Linked DNA regions of Sus scrofa. The protein of the gene in region 3 purifies or fractionates together with the protein of the main gene of each other region. This does not show direct contact. Links are inferred from orthologs where the notes say so. Each region holds a gene or a part of one and is shown on either strand. Other genes may lie near its edges.

Evidence for each region.
Region 1: the proteins of ARRB2 (region 3) and MAPK1 purify together in Homo sapiens (affinity purification with western blotting; 3 studies listed by BioGRID and IntAct, with this or other methods). This does not show direct contact. The link is inferred for Sus scrofa from reciprocal best matches to the Homo sapiens genes ARRB2 and MAPK1.
Region 2: the proteins of ARRB2 (region 3) and IGF1R purify together in Homo sapiens (affinity purification with western blotting; 4 studies listed by BioGRID). This does not show direct contact. The link is inferred for Sus scrofa from reciprocal best matches to the Homo sapiens genes ARRB2 and IGF1R.

The regions. Positions count from the first base shown.
Region 1 is NC_010456.5:50,136,936-50,142,841, reverse strand, and holds part of MAPK1 (mitogen-activated protein kinase 1), read right to left. Parts: intron 2,910-5,906; coding exon 2,727-2,909; intron 1,209-2,726; coding exon 1,019-1,208; intron 1-1,018. UniProt on the Homo sapiens protein: Serine/threonine kinase which acts as an essential component of the MAP kinase signal transduction pathway. MAPK1/ERK2 and MAPK3/ERK1 are the 2 MAPKs which play an important role in the MAPK/ERK cascade.
Region 2 is NC_010443.5:137,406,671-137,412,576, forward strand, and holds part of IGF1R (insulin-like growth factor 1 receptor precursor), read right to left. Parts: intron 3,161-5,906; coding exon 2,931-3,160; intron 2,717-2,930; coding exon 2,606-2,716; intron 556-2,605; coding exon 396-555; intron 1-395. UniProt on the Homo sapiens protein: Receptor tyrosine kinase which mediates actions of insulin-like growth factor 1 (IGF1). Binds IGF1 with high affinity and IGF2 and insulin (INS) with a lower affinity. The activated IGF1R is involved in cell growth and survival control.
Region 3 is NC_010454.4:52,160,055-52,165,504, forward strand, and holds the end of ARRB2 (beta-arrestin-2), read right to left. Parts: intron 5,440-5,450; coding exon 5,380-5,439; intron 5,007-5,379; coding exon 4,939-5,006; intron 4,802-4,938; coding exon 4,666-4,801; intron 4,470-4,665; coding exon 4,060-4,469; intron 3,780-4,059; coding exon 3,642-3,779; intron 2,956-3,641; coding exon 2,872-2,955; intron 2,794-2,871; coding exon 2,714-2,793; intron 2,637-2,713; coding exon of another isoform or gene 2,601-2,636; coding exon 2,546-2,600; intron 2,277-2,545; coding exon 2,183-2,276; 3' UTR 1,722-2,182; downstream 1-1,721. UniProt on the Homo sapiens protein: Functions in regulating agonist-mediated G-protein coupled receptor (GPCR) signaling by mediating both receptor desensitization and resensitization processes.

The DNA.
Region 1 (5,906 bases), on a different chromosome or scaffold from region 3:
TGGTGCTCTTCTCAAAAATTTGTTAATTGGGGAAAAAAAAAAAAAAAAAAAAAAAAAAGGAGCCTCTGTTGTGGTGCAGCAGAAATGAATCTGACAGTATCGGTGAGGGTGTAGGGTTCAAACCCTGGCTTCGATCAGTGGGTTGGGGATCTGGTGTTGCTGTGAATTGTAGTGTAGGTCACAGACACAGCTTGGATCACGCATTGCTGTGGCTGCGGAGTAGGCCAGCAGCTGTAGCTCCAATCTGACCCTTTAGCCTGGGCACTTCCACATGTCATGGGTTTGGCCCTTAAAAAAAAAAAAAAAGTCAGTTAATCAAGAAGTTCCCACTGTGGTGCAACAGGATCAGTAGCATGTTGGGAGAGCTGGGACACAAGTTCAATCCCTGGCCCAGCACAGTGGGTTAAGGATCTGTTGCTGCTGCAGCTTTGGCTTACGTCATAACTAAGGCTTGGATCTGATCCCTGGCCGGGAAGCTCCATATGTCACAGAGTGGCCCAAAAAAAAAAAAGTCAGTTACTCATAAACATATGGGTTTATTTACTGACTCGGAGTTCTATTCCAGTGATCTATATGCCTACTCTTGATTGCCGCAGCTTGGTAGTAAGTTCTGAAATCAGAAAGTGTGAGTCCTATAACTCTGCCCTTTCATAAAATTGTCTTAGCTACTCTGGGTCTCTTGAATTTCTATTGCACTTCAGGATCAGCCTGTCCATTTTTGCAAAAGAAGCCACCTGGGGCTTTGATAGGGATTCCACTACATCAGTAGATCAAATTTGAAAACACTGCCATCTTAACAATATTAAGTCTTCCAATCCATGAACATGGAATGTCATTTCATTTATCTAGGTCCTCTTAAATTCAAGTGCATTTTTATTAGAATGAATCTACATTCTTTCATGATATCTGTGGCCCTGAAAAGAAAAATAAAATAAAAAATTATATATAAATAAACATTCTCCAGCAAAACGAGTTTTGTCCAATAAATATCACCCTAAGAGTAAATAAGCTGGCTGACCTTGAGATCGCAGGTGGTGTTGAGCAGCAGGTTGGAAGGTTTGAGGTCACGGTGCAGTACGTTAGCTGAATGGATATATTTTAACCCTCTGAGGATCTGGTAAAGAAAATAGCAGATATGGTCGTTGCTGAGGTGCTGCGTCTTCAAGAGCTTGTAGAGATCTGTTTCCATGAGGTCCTGTACTATGTATCTGTTTGGAAAGATTAAGGTAACACAACCAAAAGAGCTAGTTACACTAGCAAAGCACTGAAAACAGAAAGAATCCAAATGGTCCATTATTACATCATGAGGCCCAGAAGGGAAATGAGAAACTGATGGAAACTGAGTAGAGCTTAATGGAAGGAGTCCTGAGTAGCTGCTTCCTCCTGAGGTTCTGTGAAGTCTTCCTGCATTTCTTTTATTCATTTCTCTGTAAATACTATACGTCTCCTAGAGATTCATGCTAGATGAGACACAGTATGGGATTTGAAGAAACATGACTTAAAAACTAGTCATCTAAAAAAGACCTGATTTTCAAGGCAAAAGGTAAAGCAGGACAACAGGCGGCAGAAGGAGGCATTTCACTTAAAATATCACAACTTAGTAACAGAACTGTTTAAAAATGGAAAGACTGCCTAGAGACAGCGCACTGCCTCTCCCTGGAGGGGCGGACTGCACAGTGGGCAAGCTGGCAGGAATGCTGCACTGGCCAGAACCCTTTCTCCTGGCAGATCCTCCTCCAGCACACTTAACACTTCTTCTTTTTTTTTTTTTTTTTTTGTCTTTTTGCCTTTTCTTGAGCCGCTCCCGTGGCATATGGAGGTTCCCATGCTGGGGTCTAATCAGAGCTGGTGCTGCTAGCCTACGCCAGAGCCACAGCAATGCGGGATTCGAGCCACATCTGCGACCCACACCACAGCTCATGGCAACACCAGATCCTTAACCCACTGAACCTCATGGTTCCTAGTTGGATTCATTAACCACTGTGCCACGATGGGAACTCCGAGCACACTTAACACTTCTATCTTTCACATGCAGTCCTTACTCAGAAAGTATCCTCTGGACCTCCTGAGTCCAGATTTCTAAACGTTTGTCACAATTAATGACAACTTCAGACCTGAGATAGCCTTGAAGATCATGAAGGCTGTACCTCAGTTTTAACATGAGAAAACTGGACCCAGAAGTAAAATGACACTGAGATCAGGACAATCTCGACCTGACCAGGTGCTATACAGGGCCCCTTCTTTTAGTCTACTGCTCTTTCACCACAACAAACCATACCTTGAAAAGAAGTATCATGACTGGAAAAGGTGTTAACCAACATTTTCCATAACTACACTTAGAGAAATCTTTACTGAAACTGAGAAAATATAGAATAAACAGCAAAAAATATGCTAAAGCTACTAATAAAATGAATCAGAGAAAAAAAGTAAATGATGTGGGAGTTCTCTTGTGGTTCAGAGGGCTAAGGACCCAGCTTTGTCACTGCTGCAACTTGGATTGCTGCTTGGCATGGGTTTGATCCCTGACCCAGGAACTTCCACATGCTGTGGAAGAAGCAAGGAAAAAAAAAAAAGTAAATGATGCAAGTGTTATAGTAAGTGGCAAGCAGAGCAGAGTTTCCCCTTAAACATGTTTGACTACTTTTCTTCCACCACGATAAGTGGAAGACTTGATGTGTACTCAACCAGGTGATGGAGCAGTGGAGTCCACAGCCTGAAAAGGATACACATCTTTCATCTGCTCGATGGTTGGTGCTCGAATGATATCATTGATTCCAATGATGTTCTCGTGTCTAAAGCGCAGTAAGATTTTTATCTCCCTCAGGGTTCTCTGGCAGTAGGTCTGATGCTCAAATGGACTGATTTTCTTGATAGCTACTCGAACTTTGTTGACATTATCATAAGCAGAGCTGAAAAAGAGGGGAGATGGCATTAAAAACAGTTCTCAGAACACCCTGGCAGAAAGAACACAAAGTGAAGTATTCTGCTTAGAACTCTGGGCAAATACTTGTTTCACATGCATGAAGGCAGAATGCATATCACCCACAAAGAGGCCCTAAGTGAGGGAGGACATAGCAGGATGCCACAGTACACACTATGTATCTCAGAACCACCAGAGGGCCTGGCCCTGGAAACTGTATGGACACCAAATTTCTTTCTTTCTTTGGCCATACCTGCAGCATGCGCAAGTTGCTGGGCCAGGGACTGAACCTGCCACAGCTGTGACCAGAGCCACTGCAGTGACAACAGATCCTTAACCCACTGAGCCACCAGGTAACTCCTGGTTGCCCATTTTCAAAACCCCAGGAATATGGGTGGATTCCCCCCCCCCATTTTTCCCACTGTTTTTAACAGCAGCTGCATTCCGGTGAGAGGAATCGTTTCTGCCTCCATAACAGCTTCCTACTACTGTATCAGATTCCACTGACTCAGCAGAAATATTCCAATGACCATCAACTACATCTTCACCCCTAACAAAAATGGACCCAAGAGGGCAACAGGGATCTACTGCATAGCACAGGGAATTATAGCCATTATCTTGGAAAACTTTTAACAGAATATATAACCTATAAAAATACTAAATCAGGAGTTCCCATCATGGCTCAGTGGAAATGAATGTGACTAGTATCCATGAGGACCCAGGTTCGATCCTGGCCTCTCTCAGTGGATTAAGGATCCAGCATTGATGTGAGTATGGTGTAGGTGTAGGTCATAGACACAGCCTGGATCTGGCATTGCTATGGCTGTTGCACAGGCCAGCGACCCCTTGCCCGGAAACCTCCATATGCCATGGGTTCAACCCTAAAAAGACGAAGACAAACACCCCCCGCCCCATCATTATTCTGTACACCAAAAACTAAGTACTATTTAGTCAACTATATTTTAATGAAAAGGGGGATTGTTCCCTGGTGGTACAGTGGGGTTAAGGATCTGGCATGGTCACTACTGTGGCTCAGGTTTTGTTTTTGTTTTTCGTTTTTTTTTGTCTTTTTGCCTTTTCTAGGGCTGCTCCCATGGCATATGGAGGTTCCCAGGCTAGGGGTCGAATCGGAGCCGTAGCTACCAGCCTACACCAGAGCCACAGCAACACAGGATCCGAGCCGCGTCTGCAACCTATACCACAGCTCACGGCAATGCCAGATCCTTAACCCACTGAGCAAGGCCAGGGATCGAACCCGAAACCTTATGGTTCCTAGTCGGACTCGTTAATCACTGCTCCACGACGGGAACTCCCTGTGCGCAGGTTTGATCCCTGGCCCCAGAACTTCCACATGCCGTGAGCGAGGCCACCCTCTCCAAAAAGAAAGGGGACCCAAGAGGACATATTGATTGCTTACAGCAATTTTGTCTTACCTGCAAAATGATGTTGTCTTACCAACCCCCACCCCCAGAAATTTTATCAAGATGTCTATGTGGTCTTTAACAAAACCTAGAAAGTATTGTTCAAAAAATACCTTCATATTGGGGAGTTCCCATCGTGGCTCAGCAGTAACAAACCCAACTAGTATCCATAAGGACACAGGTTTGATCCCTGGCCTCATTCAGCGGGTTAAGGATTTGGCACTGCCGTGAGTTGTAATGTAGGTTGCAGACACAGCTCGGATCCCTCATTGCTGTGGCTGTGGTGTACACTGGTTCGACCCCTAGCCTGGGAACCTCCATACGACATGAGCGTGGCCCTAAAAAGACTAAAAAAACAAAAACAAAAACACCTTCATAACTATAACATAGGGCTCAGTTCTCTCCCAAGTTGTCCTGAAGTTCTGACTTAACAGAATTTCAAGCAGAAGCAATAATATCTTCAATTTTATAATGAATTTGTATCATGAACAGTACTACTATCTTTACGATCAATATTCTACAAATCTTTTCTGTAAGAGCTTTTAATATTAACAAATACCAACATCTGGTTCATCAATCAAAGCAATGCAACACAAACAGGCAGTAACATACTACTTCTGGCTTCCTCAGGGTGCTAAAAATGGAAATAAATAAGTTTATTCTCAAGTTTGTGCTTTTAGAATACTTATCAATCTACTTATTCTGATAATTACTAATGTATCTGTCTATCATAAAACCATGCCATATCAGAGACCTTGCCTAACTCAGCTTTAATTTTCCCACAACACCATTAATAATCTGCACTCAATACTCTGAAATGAAGTCTATTTCCTTAAATAAAAGAATCACTACTCAAATCTTATTTTGCTTTGGTTTGCTACACGAAAGCCTAAATCACTGATTTTTAGGTAGACAGGCAAAGGTATATGTTGTTCAAGCAAGCTTATTCAATATAGGGAATATTTATTTCTAAGTATTTATGTATTTTTTATTTTTTTTTCTTTATTGTCTTTTTTGTCCTTTTAGGGCTGTACCCTGCGGCATATGGAGGTTCCCAGGCTACAAGCCTATGCCAGAGCCACAGCAACACCAGAGCCAAGCCACATCTGCGACCTATACCACAGCTCACAGCAACGCTGGATCCTTAACCCACTGAGCGAGGCCAGGGATCGAACCTGCAACCTCATGGTTCCTAGTCGGATTCCTTTCTGCTGCACCACGAAGGGAACTCCTATATATTAAAAAAAATTTTTTTTTTTCTTTTCAGGGCTGCATCCACAGCATATGGAAGTTCCCAGGACAGGGGTCAAATTGGAGCTGCAAATGCCAGCCTATGCCATAGCAACACTGGATCTGAGCCACATACACCACAGCCTGTGGCAATGCTGGATTCTTAACCCACTGAGCAGAGGCCAGGGATCAAACTTGCATTCTCATGAGCACTATGTCAGATTCTTAACCTGCTGAGCCACAACGGAAACTCCTATACTTATGTATATTACTAAAGTAAAAAATTTTGATAATTCAAATTATAAAAATTGAACAAAAGAGAACATAGGTTCAAC
Region 2 (5,906 bases), on a different chromosome or scaffold from region 3:
GAGAATGGAGGTGTGTACGTGTATCACTGAATCACTTTTTTATACATCAGAAATTATCACAACATTGTAAATCGACTATACTTCAATAAAACTTTAAAAATGAGGAAAAAAAAGCCTCAAATGTCAGTTGAGGAGACCTCAGGGACCACTGCCTCAGCCCCTCTTGCCCACTACCTGGACTGCCGTGCCCACCTGCTCAGGATTAGAGCTGGCCTGGCCTGGCCAGGTGTGCAGTTGACTGTCAAATGGAGACAATCACATGATTCCCAAGCACAAGACTCTGCATCCATAGGATGCTCTGGAAAACCTCTCCACAGGCAGGCCGATGCCTGCTTGGTCCCTAAAAAACATGCTGAGTTTAGTTCTGGCTCAGACCTGGCAAGTTAAGGGCTCACCTCCGATTTTGACTGTGAAGTCTTCGGCCACCATACAGTTCCGGGCAGCGAGGTCTCTGTGGACAAACTTATTGGCGTTGAGGTATGCCATGCCATCTGCAATCTCTCCAGCCATCTGGATCATTTTGCTTAGGCTTGGAGGTGCTAGGACTGGATTATTCTGTTGGAGATGAAGAAAAAAAAAATTCAATAAGACTTTAGGAATTTTTCTCACCCTGCATTCTTTCCGGGTTTGCATCTTTGTCCAATCTGAGACCACAGGTCAACTGCTAAGAAACCTGGACTGGCTCAGAAGGACTGTACTGCCATGGAGGCCACGGCACTTGCCCTCTGACCATGTCACACAGAGCTGCAGAGAGAAGCACCCATGAGCACAACTTGGGACCAGCATTTTCTATTTTGGGTGTGGCAAACATCATTCAAAGTGAAACAAGCAATTCTGGATGTTAAGAATTCTAGATACTCAAATTCCAATTAGTCTGTATGTTCCTTTTATTTCTACAAAGTCTTTACAGGGAAAAGGAGGGAAAGGACATTACAGAGACCGTGTGGAAATAAGCAAACGACTTTGCCAAATGGACCCTGGGCGAGTTATTTCCCACGTAAGCTTTGTTATAAACTATTTAATCCTTTTCTTTCTCGACTTTCTTCTGAAGTACAAAAACATCGAGATTATTTTTTTTCACTTTACAGAGGGGTATTCCTTGGCTTATTATTTTCCGTGGGTGCTGAGGAAAGCAAGCCCTTGACAGTTCACTTAAGTCCAGCAGAAGCTTATTCTGGAGAGCCCCACATCCAACAGTGACAAGTAACAGGAATAAACGGTTCCTCTTTGCAGAGGAGGGCAACATACTGGCTTTGGAACTGAAGAGAAATATCCCCAAATAATAAATCCATTTAGAAAAGAGTTTCATATAAAAGGTGTGCCTAAGTCTCTCCACCGAAAAAATTGAAAATGCAGAAACCAACCAGCACCCCAGTTTCAATGCTGACCACCACGTGCTTGTATAAGTGCAACCAACTTGAGCTGGTTCCCCTGATTGCAGAGAGCTCTTACAGTGGGGCAAAGCCATCCTACTCTGACAGGTCCCACGTGTCCCCTTCCCAGCTCAAACCCTGGGCCACAGGGAGAGCACGCCTAAGCTCCTCTTGGGCGCTTTCCCACAGGAATCAAGGCTGGTTCACTGCCTGGATGAAGACCTGGGGCCATGCCTGTGTCTGGCCAGGGTCCATGCACAGAGGATGGTGGCTTTGCCCAGTCAGGAACTAGCTTCTGCAGAGAGCTGGCTTCGAGAAGCAGTGTAACCCTATATTTGACCATATATTTGACTTCTGAAGAGGCTACGAGGACTATCTGTGGTGATTTTTTTTCTTTTTAGGGCTGCACCCGTGGCATATGGAAGTTCCCAGGCTAGGGGTCGAACAGGAGCTGTAGCTGCTGGCCTACACCACAGCTCACAGCAATGCCGTATCCTTAACTCACTGAGTGAGGCCAGGGATTGAACCCACATCCTCATGGATACTAGTCGGGTTCGTTACTGCTGAGCCAAAGTGGGAATTCCCAAAAAGAACAACTTTAAATGTGACAAATCTAAAAGTGAATTTCTGGTCTGAAAAGGACTTTGGTAGTCATCTTGTTTAACCCTCTTATTTTGCACATAAGGAAACGGAGGCCCAGAGGCCTGAAGCAGCCACTCCATGCAGACAGCCAGCATGTTGCACATTTTTTATTCTGCACCTAAGACTGGGGATGAAGGAATTGAGTGTTTCAGACTTTTCAGAGGTGCCCTGAATGTATCTGCCACATCTCCAGTAACCCATATGATGACGCTTTCTCCTTCCTGCTATCTTATGTATAACACAGTGAGCTGGGCAAAGGCACTAAGAGTCAGGGGAGTTGGGGACCCACGCTGGGCAGAGCGGAGGGTGGGCATGTCATAGACCACTCTGCCCAGGGCCTCAGTCCACACTTGGCCTCGTGACCACCCTCAGCACCACGCAGATCATCTGCTGCGGATGAAGGAAGCCATGTGTGAACAGGCGCGTGAAACAGGTCTCTCTCTAGTCAAGGAACACGCTCTTCTAAAGGACCCAGGACCAAGCACATGGCAAGAAAAGTGCATGGATTTAAAGACACAGTACCTCCTGGGGGAAGGTTCTAGAGGAAAGGGAACAGATAGCATGGCGTTTCGGTGAACATTGAAACTGACCTCCATTTCTGGTCTCAGAGACCGGAGATAACTTTTGAGGTCCCCCCGGGTCATCAGTTCCATGATGACCAGCGTTGGCTGGCCCTGGGACACCACACCCAGCAGCCGCACCTGTGAGGGGGAAAGAGAAGGAGACAGGGGGTGAGCCCCCGCAGCCCCCCAACCCCACCAGGACCACCCTGAGCAACCCTGGATGATGTGGCACCAGACTCCCTGGACCTGCACATCCCCCCCAACCTTCTTGAGCAGTGAGAGGGATCCTACAGAGACAGGATGAGTCGCAAACCCATAAGGGTGGCCCCAACCCTTGGGGCCCTTCCCTCACCACGTGGTGACAGTTGAACTCCTTCATCACGGAGGCCTCGTTGAGAAACTCAATCCTCTCACGCATGCTGGCGGCCTCATTCACTGTCTTAATGGCCACCCTGGTCTCAGGCTCATCTTTGACCACACCCTTGGCGACGCCTTCATAAACCATCCCGAAGGAGCCCTGTCCCAGCTCCCGGCTCATGGTGATCTTCTCCCGGGCGACCTCCCACTCGTCGGGCACGTACACTGGGGAGAGAGGCCAGAGCTGAGCTGGGGGTGCTCTGGGGAAACTCCCGGCCATGGAGCAAGAGGCCCCTTCCTACAGCCCATAGGGAAGAAGGTCAGGATATGGCGACACAGTCTGTTCTGGAGTCTCCCATGGGCTTGGTTTCTGCATGGCTACTGTTCAGTTAAATACTAGAATTTCAAGTCTTCAAGGATTCCTAGGTAATTCAAAGATACCAACAGCACAGAAGAGCCAGGAGGTCATCCAATTTGAGATGTTGCTCTAAGTATAAAACTTGATGCTGGATTTCAAAGACTTAGTATCAAAAATAATATAAATACTCCAGTAATTTTTATACCGGCTGTATATTAAAACTGATAGTACTTTGGATATACTGAGTTAAATAAAATGTTCTCAACATTTATTTCACCCATTTCTTTTTCATACTTTGTATGTGGCTACTAGAAACAATTGCGGTTTCTTATGGGACTGGCATTATATTTCCCCTGGTAGCATTGCTCTGGTCTAGACAGTTTCCCTGGCTTTGCCAGAGACACTGGGGGTGGAATGAGATATGAAAGCAACTGATCTCCAGCACCAGGTTGTGGGGGAAGGCAGTTAGTGTGACCATCTCAGAGGGGCAGGGCTCTGTGAACCCAGGGACCTCCCACCACTGGGGTGATGGGCTGGGTGGGGGGGCTTCATAATGATTAAGCCTGGTAAGATTTCCTCTCCAGCCTATGCTTCTGGTCAGACGCAATTTGTTTTAAGAACATAAATGAATAATTCTGTGCAGGAAAGAAGGACAAAGAAAGAGGGAAAGGAAGGAGGGAGGAACGAAAGACAAAACAAAACAGTGGACCCATCCTACAACTCTGATGGGTAGGCTGAGAACTAACATGAGATCAACCTGGTCTATAGCGCCATAAGAAATGTTAATCCTAATCCCATTCTTCCAATGCTCTGTGCTTTCGTCCTTGCCTGAGAGGGGAACTCCCACCAGGCTCCGCTGGTAGGAAAGTGCTGGTCCTGGCTCAGAAATGCAGAAGGACTGGGAACCTGGAATGGCATCTGTGTTTGCTGTTACGCTTTCAGATATTAACCTTGAGCCTGAGGTGGATGTAAGAGAAGCAGGGGATTGACAACCATATTCCGACAACCCCAAGTCCCAGGTATGTACCTTTAAATGATGTCTTAAAAGAAAGATGTCTGTAACTCAGGAGATACAACCAATTTACACATCTAATGAGTGTCCAATATGGACTATATTAATCAGTCTAGAATCTTCTTTCGCATACATTTTTGTATATTATAGCACATATCTGTGTGTTCAAGAGTTGCCCAGAAGGATCGCACCATCCATGTGGCCCCCGAGAGGAAGCTACTGCCTGCTTAGGAGGGAAAGTATGAAAGACAACCCAGTGGTTACACTCTTCCCAACCCCCCCTCAGAAGGTATAAAAAGAGGCTGTCTATATCCATTTATCTCTGAAAATCCAGGCTTGCTTTTAATCAGAATTAACTATGTAGCCACCATGAAACATGGAGTTAAAACCAAACACATTTCCTCCTTAGGAGGTGGCTGAAGTCAATCCTGGCAATCCTTTCTCTGCAGTCCACCCCCGAAACTCCTGGCTTCAGCCAGCAGTCCTAAGCCCTGCCAGCCAGCAGAGGTTTTATGCGCACAATGTTATCAGCTTTCCCCTGTAGGGGATTTTCAGTGCACTCTGGAGAATGGTGACATGCAGATTAGCTTTTGGAGAGAAAAGTTTTTAAAGCATTTCTGAACTGCAATGTCATTTTGTTGACCCTTGAGGAAACTAGCTCTAAGATGCTTGTCAGGAGGCCGGAACAGAGTAAGTTAAATAAGGTGATAGTGTTTCTACCTGTTGACCTGGGTTTTGCTTCTTTGTTTTGTTTTTAAAGAATTAAGACAATTATTGGAATTCCCATTGTGGCTCAGTGGTTAACGAGTCCGACTAGGAACCACGAGTTTGCAGGTTTGATCCCTGGCCTTGCCCAGTGGGTTAAGGATCCTGTGTTGCCGTGAGCTGTGGTGTGGGTCGCAGATGCAGCTCAGATCCCGAGTTGCTGTGGCTGCGGTGTAGGCCGGCAGCTATAGCTCCCATTGGACCCCTATCCTGGGAACCTCCATATGCTGCAGGTTGCGGTCCTAAAAAGACAAAAAAAAAAAAAAAAAAAAAAAAAAATTTAAGGCATATTATGAAAACATTCTGGAAAAACACAAAATTTGAATTCAAACTGCCATCAGAGGAGTTCCCGTCGTGGCGCAGTGGTTAACGAATCCGACTAGGAACCATGAGGTTGCGGGTTCGGTCCCTGCCCTTGCTCAGTGGGTTAACGATCCGGCGTTACCGTGAGCTGTGGTGTAGGTTGCAGACGTGGCTCAGATCATGTGTTGCTGTGGCTCTGGCGTAGGCCGGCGGCTACAGCTCCAATTCGACCCCTAGCCTGGGAACCTCCATATGCTGCGGGAGCGGCCCAAAGAAATAGCAAAAAAAACAAAAACAAAAACAAAAAACTGTCCTCAGAGTCTGATAGGATTGTATTAGTTCTCTCTAAAAACTTTCTGGTACTGCAGAGTCAAAGCCACAAATGCCTATCTTCTCTGCTTTATTTTGAAGTCGAGCAGCATCTCTGAAGTAGTCTCACTCCACACTGACAGAGGAGGGGAGCGGCCTTGCATTTCCCCTATTAATTCCGTTAAGTGTGTGATGACTCCTCACCTTCCTTGATTACCAAAAAA
Region 3 (5,450 bases):
AGCAACCCAAGCCGCTGCAGTGACCACGCTGGATCCTTAACTCCCTGCACCACAAGAGAACTCTCTTTTTTTTTTTTTTTTTTTTTTTTTTTTTTTTTTTTTTTTTTTTTTTTTTTTTTTTTTTTTTGCTCCCGCATAGTTCCAGTATTGATCAGCTGACCACCCCCGCCACACCCCGGCCGCCTGCACCCCACGCTCCGCCCATCTTAACCCACTGGCAAGGCAGGACGAACCCGCACCTCATGTTCTATCATTCGTTACCTGCCACGGATCTGGATTTTTTTCTTTTTTAAAACCGTGTGCACATCTTACTTTCTTCCACACATTAAAAGTGTGAAAAGCTAAAAGAAAGAAGGCATTGTTTCTCAAGTGTGTGTTAATTCAAGATCCTGAGTCATGGATTCTGCCTGGACCTACCGAATCGGATCGGGGAAGGTGGAAACCTGGGACCTTGCGTCTTTATCATGTGCCCCAGAGGATTCTGATTCACTTGGAAGAGTTTGAGATCCCTGCGCCAGGAGCTCAGAGGTCAAGGATGGTCCCGCCACATGGTGAAGACCAAGGCCTGCAGGGGAGGCTGCTGGGTGGAGAGGTGAGCGAGGTCGTTGACATTTTGACAGCATTTAAAGCCTGTGGGTAAATCGTGACTTAATTAGATGTCATGGGCTGTAACAGAGACAGAAGGCCTGTAGGAGCTGCCCCAGATGCCTCACCAGGAACTGCTTTGCCTCCGGCTGTCTGCGTCCCAGTCACTCTGGCCTCTTTCGGTGTCTGAAACGTGCTCCGTTCTTTGCTGCCTTCCCGCGTGCTATTCCTCTTGCCGGGGTGCCGGGACTCCTCATCTGCCCGACGGTCACCACCTCCAGCCTGGGTCAGAATCCCCTAGCTCCTGGCCTTCTGTTTTGGAGCGATAGTGTTATGACTTCATGTTTGCTTTGGTCACTGCCATCCCTATACTACGCCTGGCACATGATAGGGATTTAAATCAGGATTGTTCATGGAGGGAATGAATGAGCCTTAGGAGGAAAAGGGGAGAGGGTGCCCTGCAGGAGTGGAGCCGGTGGTGGGGGTGCGCGTGCCAGCGGAGTAGCGCTCGACTCCTGCCAGCCCAGTCTGGGGCTTCAGCCAAGCCTCTGGGAGTCCCTGATGAACTAGAGGAGCAGCGTAGGACGTAGTGTCTTGGACTTGTCCACAGCAGCACCACTGCCTTCGGCTGCCCAGAGCTTTGGCTTCTGTGTGCAGTCTAAGGACCAGGCTCCTGGGAGGTGTCTGCCAGGTGGCTTCTGCCGCTGAGGCCCGCAGCTGCGGTTCCACCAAGCCCCAGGAATGGACCGCTTGATCGACCAGAAGGAGCAGTGGAAACAAACACTCGGTCACAAGTCACCACGCAGTCATGTGTGTCAGCCGCGACGGGGAAGGGCCTGCCCTGCCCAGTCCCAAGAGCATCCCATCTGCAGGAACGTGAGCTATTACTCCCTCTGTGAATGAATGAGTTTACTTTGTGGCTTACCACATTGTGCCCTTGAGTTTGGACTGACCACATCAAGTTTCCATGTTTACCGTGGAACTCAGGTACAGCTCAGCCATTCAGGAAACGTGTACTGACAGCCTGGGGGCCTGGTGACATGTGGGGACAGAGAAGGGATGGGGCACAATGGACAGTCGTGGACGAGCACACGAAGTCCTCCTTAAACGTGCCGTAGAAAACACACACACGCGCGTGCCTATTAAAAGGTTTATTTTCTTCTTTAGCCTCAGAAACAAAGTGGCCTTGCCCCCCAGAGGGTCTCATCCTGAAGGAATGGGAGGCAGAGGTGGTGACAGGCAGGGGTGTCGGGGTGAGGTTGAATGTGGGAGCTCGTCCTCCCCCTTTCCCTGCTGTCACGCCTCTCCAGTGGCCCCTCCACAAAACTTAGGTATGAACACAGCGTGCCACCCGCTGCGGGGTTGGGGAAGCCCAGCTGTCGTGGAAAGATTAATGCCCATGTTCCCCAAGAGATGGGTCCAGTGCGTCTCTGGTGGGGAGGGGGAGGCGGGCTGGTCGCGGCAGCCGCCCAGGGAGAGGGGAGGGCAGGGGAAGAGAGGCTGGAGCCCCCGGTGCCAGCGGGGTCTCGGTCCTGCCCCTCCCTCTCCCAGCACCATCCACTCCCTTCTGCCAGCCGCCCCCCGCTGCCGCCGCCGCCTAGCAGAACTGGTCTTCGCCGTCCTCGTCCTTCATCCCCTTCAGCCGGAGCCGGGCAAAGTCCTCGAACACGATGTCGTCGTCCGTGGCATAGCTTGGTGTGGAGGGAGGGGGTGAGGCGAGGGCTCCTGACCCTCTTCTCCACCCCCACCCCCCCAGAGACAGAGGCGTTAGAGCAGCAATGGGACTGGAGGTGTTGGCAGGAAGGGACCCGGAAGAGGTGGCCATGGGCAGCTCGCAAGGCTGCCTCATCTCGCTTGGATGCTTCGACCACCCCCCCCACAAGAGGAAAAAATGGGTAGATGTGAATGTAAGGCATCTCCGACCAAGGGGCGTCAGAGCTGGGGCCGAGGCGTGTCTTACTTGGTATCAAATTCAATGAGGTTGGTGTCCACCGGGACGTCTGTTTCTGGCGCAGCTGAGGGGAGAAGGAAGGAGGGGGGGTGGGTGGGTGCTGAAAGGACCCGCCTTGTCTCCACTGGCCCTGCTTCGGGCCCGCTCTCTGGGGGCTGGGGCGGGTGGCAGGCTCACCTGACTGGGGTCTGGGGAGGGTGATGTGCTCCTGGGGCTTGGGGTGCATGAGAACAAAAGGCAGCTCCACGGAGACATCTCTGAGGGGGGGGAGAGGCGGCATGAAGAGAGGCCCGTGCAGAGCCCCCGACCCCCAGGCTCCCACCCGCAGCACTCACCCGCCTCGAGACACCACCAGCTTCACCTTGACCCTGTAGGACACGAGGATTCCCAGCACCTCCTTGTTGGCACCCTCCTTCACGCTGCGGGGGGGAGGCGGGGGGGGGAGTTGGACCAGAGCCCACGGCCTCCTCGCACCCTAGCCCACCCTGGGGGCCTCCACGGGGATTCTGAGCAGGAATCCCCGGCTCCAGCAGCACGGGCTGTTGCCGTGTAACGTACCCCATCCATCTTCGTCTCGCTCTCTCGGTCACAGCCCACGTCCTTGGGACCCATCAGCCCTGCACTGACCTGCTTTCCCTCAGCCCTCTGACCGCACCTCCTGCTCCCACGCTGGCCTGCCGTGTGTGGTCAGGCACAGGGCGCAGGGCCCGGGGGTGAAATCCGCCCCCACTCTGTGCAGCTGTACCTGCTCCAAAGACAGGGGCCCTCTCGCCTGACACCTCTGCAGCCCTGCTGCCTTTGTGTCCTTACTCCAAGTCGCCTCTGGATTTTGCCTTTTCTGGCCACCCTCTGTAAAGTCACCCCCCCCTTGATACCTCCCTTCTCTGCCTGCCTTTTTCTCAACAGCTGGCACTAAACATGCTGTATATTTTGCCATTTATCTGGTTTGCCTGGCCTCCTCCCTGAGAACGTAAGAGATCTTTTGGGTCTGTTCTGCTCCCTGATGGGGCCGTGGCCCCGGGGACAGAGCCTGGCACACGGCTGGCACGGAATGAGTGTCTCCTGTGCTGTAGGACCCCCCACCCCCACCCCCTCGTCCCCTCACATGGTGCTGGACGCCAGGTTGGTGTCCTCATGCTTGAGCTTCCCGTCCAGGGCGAGACCGCGCTTCTCTCGGTTGTTGCTGAGCAGGGGGGTTATGGTGTACACCTTACAGAACGTGGAACTGGGCGACACCTGGTCACTGGGGCAGGGGGACACGAGAAGGAAACTCTGGGAAGGGCCAGGCGGGCGGAGGGGGTGGCTCCCACCCCCAAGCGGCTTCTGCCCCATCACCGGCCCCTTCTCCCTTTGGCCTTGGGTCACGGGCTCAACCCGCTCCAGAACATGAGCGGCTCAGAGCCCCCAACGGGAGGGAATGTGCTTGGAAGCGGAGACAGCGGGGAAGGACTCCCGCCTTCCTCACACTCCGGGGCCCCTCTTCCCCCCTGACCAGGGGGACCCAGGGCTCTTCTGCTACTCACTCTTGTTCGAGCTGAGCCACGGGGCACTTGTACTGGGCCGTGCTGAAGAGGCAGATGTCCGCGTACTGTCTCACTGTGGGGCGGGGCCAAGCAGCTCTGCATGGAGTGTAGACAGCAGCCCACCCAACTCCAGCCCGCGCCCCCCCCCCCCGCAAGGACCCCAGGTCCTGGCCCTTTAGCATCCCTGCCTGAGGACATGTGCCCCCCACCCCCCCATCCTGGGACAGCCTGCATTCCTTGAGCCCCCCGGGGTCTCCAGCCCTGGGGTATGTCCTGTGGCTGAAACTCCCTCCCTTCAGGCAATTTTCCAACCCCCACCTCCTACCAGAGACTTTGATCTTCTTGACAGTCTTGGTGGAGTTGTTGGTGACGTGGACGTTGACATTGAGGGGCTCCCCATGGTAGTACAGCTTTTGGGGGGAAAGTTAATTGATGTCTCTTCACTGGTCCTGTTATTACTGCGCCCCCACCTCCCGCAAACACACACCCAGTGCTGGGCCTCCTCCATCTAAAGCCAAGCCCACCCCTGCAAGGAAGGCAGCCTCCTTTAGAAGCGCCCCTCCCCAGGGTCTGGCCTGCACTGCAGCACCCTGTCGCCCCCCCCACCTCCTTGTCCAGGGACGCCTCGAGGTGCAGGGACCGGTCAGACATGAGGAAGTGGCGTGTGGTTTCAGCTGAAGGCTGGGGGCCGGGTTTCTCGGGGGCAAACTGCACCTTTCGGATCACCAGCCGCACAGAGTTCCTGGGGGCAGGGAGGAGGGGTCAGACAGACTCCAGACGTGGCCGTGGCCGAGTTCTCACCCCTCACTTCTCACCTCCAACCAGGCCTGGGAGCTGGGAGGTTATGGTCAGACCCAAGGGGGGGGGTGCTTTCCTCACCTTTTGTGGCTTTTCTCTTCTACCGATTTGGCACAGAAGGCTCGAATCTCAAAGTCCACCCCGCAGGCCTTGAGAGGGGGAGAAAAGGTCACATCTTACACAAGCCCCTGCCGCCACCACCACTCCCTTCCTTCCCGCTGCCTTCGTCTTGGGCAGCCACTCTTGCCCCATCATGCTCTGAGGCGTGCAGGGCCCAGGTCTTCCTCCTCTGTCTCCGCGAGGCCCGGCACCCGGCAGAGGTCGGACCTGGCTGTGCGAGGCGAGCCCCCATACGCCGCTGTGTGCAGGTCATGAGCAGGAGGCAGTGTCCCACATGCGCAGTGACCATTCCTTGCACGTGCCCACTGCTCCCAGGGACATTTTCCTACCCTTAGCCCCACCTGGACTTCTCAGGGCCCATCCCCCCCCAAGTGTGCCCCTAGGACCCTGTTCCTCCCGTACCTTCCCTGTGTCCTCTGGGCCTGGCTGCAGGGTGACGGAGCAGGGCAGGTTCTGGGGTATCTGTGGCGGAG